Linked DNA regions of Macaca fascicularis. Each later gene encodes a partner of the first gene's protein in a complex. Links are inferred from orthologs where the notes say so. Each region holds a gene or a part of one and is shown on either strand. Other genes may lie near its edges. The genes, in order: CDHR5 and MYO7B.

Region 1 (2,977 bases):
ACTTTGGGAGGCCGAGGCAGGCACATCACCTGAGGTCGGGAGTTTGAGACCAGCTTGACCAACATGGAGAGACCCCGTCTCTTCTAAAAATAAAAAATTACCCGGGTGTGATGGCGGCGCCTGTAATCCCAGCTACTCGAGAGGCAGAGGCAGGAGAACCGCTTAAACCTGGGAGGCAGATGTTGCAGTGAGCCAAGATCACGCCACTGCACTCCAGCCTGGGTGACAGAATGAGACTCTGTATCCAAAAAGAAAACAAAGAAAAGAACTGGATTGTCTTTCCTCGCTTGAGATTCTGCTGGTTGCATCCCCAAGTACCTGCATTATTTTTCTGTGGCGCACCTGCCACCTCCTGGCTTTATAAAGTCCTTTTTGTCTGTTGTTGTAAGTCCTGCCAGGACAGGCACCACCGGGCAGAGATTTGTCTCTTGTGATCTCTGCATCCCAGCACCTAGAGCTGTGCAGCCCCCCTGCAGCCCCCCAACACCACTGAGCGAGTGGACGGATAGCTGTCGAGGGGTGCACCTCACTCACGATGGGGAAGGATAGCGTCGAGGGGTACACCTCACTCATGATGGGGAGCGGCTGTGGGAGAGGCTGACGGCCACATCCTGCAGGTGACCCAGCTGAGGGTGTTCGTGTCAGTGCTGGACGTCAATGACAACGCCCCCGAATTCCCCTTTACAACCAAGGAGATAAGGGTGGAAGAGGTGAGGCCAGCGAAGCTGCCAGGGCTGGGCAGGGGGTGCGGGAGCCCAGGGTGAGGGCAAGGGGCGAGTGGTGGCCGGGGGCTCAACCACAGCGGGGGTCCACAGGGGCCAAGAGTGTGGCCAGACCAAGCCCCTCTCCCTCCCTAGGACACTAAAGTAAACTCCACCGTCATCCCTGAGACAGAACTGCAGGCCAAGGACAAAGACAAGGATGACCTTCTGTTCTACACCCTCCAGGAAGCGACCGCAGTCAGTGCCGCCTGCCCTGCCCCAGCGTGAGCCCCTCGCCACTGACACCCGCAGCCGCCCTCGCCCTCCCAGGCTCTTAGGCTGTGTCCTCCCTGATCCTCCCCAGGGTGCCAGTGACTACTTCTCCCTGGTGGGTGTAAACTATCCCGCCCTGAGGCTGGACCGGCCCCTGGACTTCTACGAGCGGCCCAACATGGCCTTCCGGCTGCTGGTGCGGGTGAGCGGCTCACCCCAGCCCTGAGTCCCACATGCTTGAGGTCCCCCTGGCCCCAGCTGCTCCCAGGCCTGATCTGGCTGTTGCAGGACACTCCGGAGGAGAATGTGGAGCCCAGCCACACGGCCACCGCCACGCTGGTGCTGAACGTGGTGCCTGCCGACCTGCGGCCCCCCTGGTTCCTGCCCTGCACCTTCTCAGACGGCTACGTCTGCATCCAAGCTCAGTACCACGGGGCTGTCCCCACGGGGCACACACTGGTAATGGGGAGGGAGGGGCAGTGCCCGGGGCGGGGCCTTCTAGGCAGGTTGGAGGCAGGGACGGCCAGGATCAGAAGAAGGGCAGGGTCAGGGTCAGCGGGTGGGGCCAAGTTTGGTTGTGACTTTGAAACAAATACAGACTCTCCTTATAAACCAATCTTTCCCATCTTGAGGGAGCAAACCCTGAACACACAGAGAGGAGTGTGGGCCCCAGAGCCAGGCGGTCTCAGGGGCCTGGGGAGGTGGGCTGGGGCCCTGGAGTTCTTAAGGGATGGTGAGATCTCTGCCCTGCTCACAGTCACCACTAGGCCCACACAGGCTGTCTGCAAACCTTCACAGCACCAAGGCACCCGGGGCCACCAAACAGCACATGAGAGGCAGAAACGCAGACCCCGGGAACCCCCCGCTTCCTAAATGTCTGCTTAGCCGTCAAGACAAGCATCGTGCAAATGGCACTCAGTATCTTTGGGCAACTTATTCGTTAGTGAGGGACCCACAGGGGTGTGACTCACTGTGATACTGGGACAAGGGACAGTCCTAGACAGGCAGGGATGCCCGGCCACCAGCGGGACTGGGCCCCTCCTCAGCCAGCCCTGCCCTGGCTGACCTTGATGGGGAGCCAGAGGGGCCAGGTTGGGGCCATTCACCCCAGCCTCACGACGTGCCCTCCTCTCCACCATCCTTGAAGCCATCCCCCCTCGTCCTGCGTCCCGGACCCATCTACGCCGAGGATGGAGACCGCGGCATCAACCAAGCCATCATCTACAGCATCTTCAGTGGTGAGTGGGGCCCAGCCCTCAACAATGCCCCGGACCCCTCTCTGTCCCTGTCTCTGTCCCCACCTTGGGCTGGGGAAGCCCCAGGGGCACCTGCCAGCAAGGCAGAGCTGGCTGGGTCCCTGGGCCTCAGGAGGCCGGGACTGAGCACTTCCATCGTCCTCCCAGGAAATGTGAACAGTACATTTGTCATCCACCGAGACTCCGGCAACCTCACCATGGCCAGGAGTGTCCCCAGAGCCATGACCTTTCTTCTGCTGGTGAAGGTGAGGTAGGGACCTGCACGGGGGGCAGGGCAGTGGGGGCAGGGTGGAAGGTAGGGCGGGGGTCAGGGCGGGGGGGCAGGGCCCCTGCCAAGTCTGCATCTATTCTTCCTGAGCCCCAGGCTTCAGCACCAGCTCCACCGTCAACCCCACGAGTCACGGCTGCCTCCCCCGCCTCCAGGGCCAGCAGGCCGACCTTGCCCGCTACTCAGTGACCCAGGTCACCGTGGAGGCTGTGGCTGCAGCCGGGAGCCCGCCCCGCTTCCCCCAGAGCCTGTACCGTGGCACCGTGGCACTTGGCGCTGGAGCAGGTGTTGTGGTCAAGGATGCAGCTGCCCCCTCTCAGCCTCTGAGGGTCCAGGCTCGGGATCCGGAGTTCTCGGTAGGTAGCACACGCAAGGCTGATGCCTGCCGCCCCCACGGCAGCCTTCCTGTTGCCCAGGGTCCCTGGGTCCACCCGGCCTCCCCTCTGTGGGTGGGTCAGGGCTGCAGATGGGAGGCAGCC
Region 2 (3,809 bases), on another chromosome or scaffold:
GCTGGCTGGCACTGCACACGCACCTTGCCACAAGAATGGTGGGGGCTGCCCAGGTGGCCCTCCTGGCCTCTGCTAGGTGGGCTGCAGGGCCTGAACTAGGCATCCCAGGACCGCTCCACCCTGCCCTTGGGTACCCAGGCTGAGGACAAGGGAGCGTGCCAGTTACCAGCAGCTGTGCCGAGGGCTTAGTGACCGTGGGGATGGTGTAGAGGCAGGCCGTGGGCACCAGCCCCGTCTTGCCCGTCCTGTCGTTCTGGCCGAGGGTCCAGTTCTCAGAGGCCAGCAGCCCCTGCTTCTTTGTCAGGACCAACAGGTCCCCCTTCTTGAAGGCCAGGAGGGTGGCGTCATCTGTAAGGGTAGGGAGGCTGCCATTTGCTGAGGGCTCTGCAGGGGCCAGAGGCTGTGCTGGCATTTTGGGGGTCATCTCCCTTGACGGATGAAACAGAGGCACAGAGTGGTGGGCAGAAGACCACCCCAAGAGTGAGCAGTGGTGGGACTGGAACCTCAGGGGCCTCAGACAGCTGTCACCTGCTACAGCTGCACAGGCGCAGAGCCCAGGGTGCGCGGGGGCTCGAGAGCTGTGACTGCAGCCCTAGCCCTGGGAGACCCTCGGAAGGCTGACCAGGAGCCAGGGATGAGGGAGGGGAGGATGCACAGGCTGGCGGTCCCCACGCCTGGCCTGAGTGCTGCCTGCCTCTCTAGCCCGCTTCCTCATCTGGAATTTGGAGATGGCAATCCTCTTTCCCTCGTGCGGTGGCCGTGAGTACTGAATGGGGCAACAGGGCAGCACATCTCAGCTGACGTTTCTCACTGCCCAAAAACCCCACGCACAGCCTCTTCTGCTGCATCCCAACCAGCACCCCCTTCTGAAGCCCCTGCACTAACTGCACCACCCACTGCCCATGACTGCCCCGCCAGCAGCCTGGGCCAGCAGGGGTCCTGGGGCTTTGTTATGCTCCCCCACAGCCCACAGACACAGCCCAGCTCTCTGGAGTGCTGGCTTGCAGGAGAACTGCGGCCAAGAACTAGGCTCCTCCCCCTTGAGCTGTGTGACCCTGGGCGAGCTACCTCCGTCTCTGGGCCTCTGGCCTCGTGCCTGTAAAACGGGATAATGGGGTGCTTCTGCAGCAGTGCACTGTGGGGATGGTGTTCAAAGCTTCCCTGGGCTGGAGGCTGGCCCCTCTCGGTGCTTTTGCAGCCGTGCAGCGCTGAGCATGGCTGGCCTTGCGGGGCTGGAGACCACCTCCTTTAGCCCCTCATTTTGTAGAAGAGGAAGCAGTGGCTGAGAGAAGGTAGGGCCTGGTCTAAAGTTGCCCCCACAGAGCTTTGGGGCCCGCCCTCCCTCTGCTTGCCTTGCGGCTGCCGTGTGTGGAGATGAGCACGCCGCGTCCCTACAGACCCCACGCGCAGCCCTCCCCCCACCCCACCCAGTCTGGCACCTGTGGCCTTCCTGTCCTGTAGGGCCATGGCGAACACGGACCTCTCCTTCAGGCCCTCCAGGAACAGGGCCACCAACTCAGCGATGGCCACGCTGCTGGGCGACACAAACTCGTATTCCTCATGCATGGTGGAGAGCAGCAGCCTCTGCCTGCCCTGGGCCTCCCTGGACACAAAGGGCAGCATGACCAGGAGCCCCCTCCACCTCCCCGTGATCCAGCCCCTCAACAGCCTCAGGAGGTGGGACTGGGGGTCCTGGGTCACAGATGAGGACACAGAGCTGCTCTACCAGGGCCAGGACCAGGCCAGACACCACTGTGGGTCTGGACAAATGAAGGACGGCGGGGCACAGGGTCCCTCAGAGGCTGCAAGTGGTGCAGCCCGTGTGTGGGGTCGGCTCTGGGCAGATAATGAGGTGGCCGGCGTGCAGGGACACCACAGGGACGCTGCAAAGATCAGAGCTGAGCTGAGTCGGCGGCTCTGCCATGTGCTAACTCTAAGCCACCTAGCCTCGGCGTGCCACAGTTTACTCATCTGCAGAACAGGTGATGCTGTCAGGACTTCGTGGCATACAGGAAAGTACCCAGCACAGACAGCCTCAGTGAGAGGTGGCCAGTGGGGAGAGGTGGCCAGTGGGGAGTGGTGGCCACTGTACACCTGGCACAGCCCAGAGATGCATGTGCCACTCTGTCGTGTGCTTTAACCAAGGGGCACTCTGGCAGGGCTTGGGTGGGACTTCCCAGAAGGCATGAAAAAGTTCCCAGTCAACGAGAGCCATGGAGACCCCTGGGAGTGGGGGTCAGCCCCAGCCTAAGAGGCCCCCCTGCCCTGCCCCGTGCCCCGGGACACACCAGGCACTGTCCCTTGCCGCTGTCCCAGACAATCTGTACCCTCCAGGCTACCAGTTCTCGTCCATGACAAAGAAAGGAGCCTTCTAAATAAGTGCACACCAGAGGCTGCACGCTTCTGTGCCCTTTCCGGGTGGATCTGGGTTTCAAAGAGAAGCTGCGAGTGCAACCGTGATGCTCCAATGGAGTACTTCGTGGGCAGTGCAGCCTGGTGTGGGAGGGTAGGACTCCCAAGTACAGAGGGCATTGTATACGTCGATTCTTGTCCCACCACCCTGGCCTGTCACCCGGGAGCGCACGCCGCCCCTCTCCCCATCTCTCCCTGAGCCCCCAGATGCATCAATCCAAGGACTCAGGGTGTGAGGAGATCTTCCCTCAGGGCCCCCACCTGTTGGCAACCAGACCCATGACCTCTGGGAAAGAGAGCTCCAGCAGCGTCTTCTCCCGCTGGTCCAGGAAGCAAAGCCCCTTCCAGTTAACAGCCAAGATCAGCTGCGTCTTGGGCAGGCGGGGGCCTGGCCAGGAGAGACGGCAATGTGAGGGCTGCATGGGATCCCTGGGTGCCCAGCCCGTACCCGCTCCCCGCCCCCCATCAGATGCCATTACCTGAGAGTGTGGTGACTTCAAAGAGCCGGGAGAAGAGCAGCGGCCACTGCAGGCGGGCGGCGTCCACCACCTGCTCTCGCACGGCCAGTGGTGTGGCTTGCCTCTCAGCGTATGGGGCCTGAGAGGGGGATCCTGGATGTCACTTCCATCACCTGCCTCCCCAGTGAATCCCTCACCCAGTGCTCAGGGTAAAAGAGTTGGTGGATCCTTCTGAGAAGCCTCGACTTAAAGCGAGGCCAGTGCCTGGAGACGGATCCTGCAGGGAGGGACCTGGGACGTCCCCAGGGACTGGCGCAGCCCTATTTTTTTTTTTTTTTTTTTTTTTTTCTTTTTTGAGACAGAGTCTCGCTCTGTCACCCAGGCTGGAGTGCAGTGGTGCGATCTCGGCTCACTGCAAGCTCCGCCTCCCGAGTTCAAGCAATTCTCCCGCCTCAGACTCCCAAGTAGCTGGGACTACAGGCGCGTGCCACTGCGCCTGGCTAATTTCTGTAGTTTCAGTAGAGACAGGGTTTTGCCATGTTGGCCAGGCTGGTCTCAAACTCCTGACCTCAGGTGATCCACCTGTCTTGGCTTCCCAAAGTGCTGGGATTACAGGCGTGAGCCACCGTGCTGCCCTATTCTACCTGGGAGGGGTGTGGGGACCCGTTAGGAGGAGGGAGGAAAGCCGTTCCCTGTCCCCTCATTAGCATCTGTAGGGCGGGGCTGCGCTAGCTGTGGAAGGCGCTGTGTGCCCCAGCCCAGGCTCGCTCTTGCCCGCCTATGCTTGTGGGTCTGTGACTCGCTCCGTGCAGGAGGGCATCCTGCTCCGAGTCTGTGTCCCGGGCGCTTCTCTCTTCTTCTCTGGAGCTCTGCTTTGTCTCTGGGGGCCTCTCTTGGGGACCACCTCTAGTTCCTTGTCTTCCAGTTTCCTTCCTTCCT

Evidence for each region.
Region 2: CDHR5 (region 1) and MYO7B share a complex: the UniProt entries of both Homo sapiens proteins name them as parts of the IMAC/intermicrovillar adhesion complex. The link is inferred for Macaca fascicularis from reciprocal best matches to the Homo sapiens genes CDHR5 and MYO7B.

Annotation. Positions count from the first base shown.
Region 1 is NC_088388.1:521,919-524,895, reverse strand, and holds part of CDHR5 (cadherin-related family member 5), read left to right. Parts: intron 1-617; coding exon 618-710; intron 711-857; coding exon 858-959; intron 960-1,065; coding exon 1,066-1,176; intron 1,177-1,262; coding exon 1,263-1,433; intron 1,434-2,121; coding exon 2,122-2,212; intron 2,213-2,377; coding exon 2,378-2,475; intron 2,476-2,594; exon of another isoform or gene 2,595-2,653; coding exon 2,654-2,854; intron 2,855-2,977. UniProt on the Homo sapiens protein: Intermicrovillar adhesion molecule that forms, via its extracellular domain, calcium-dependent heterophilic complexes with CDHR2 on adjacent microvilli. Thereby, controls the packing of microvilli at the apical membrane of epithelial cells.
Region 2 is NC_088386.1:3,907,589-3,911,397, forward strand, and holds part of MYO7B (unconventional myosin-VIIb), read right to left. Parts: intron 3,010-3,809; coding exon 2,892-3,009; intron 2,801-2,891; coding exon 2,674-2,800; intron 1,604-2,673; coding exon 1,440-1,603; intron 349-1,439; coding exon 167-348; intron 1-166. UniProt on the Homo sapiens protein: Myosins are actin-based motor molecules with ATPase activity. Their highly divergent tails are presumed to bind to membranous compartments, which would be moved relative to actin filaments.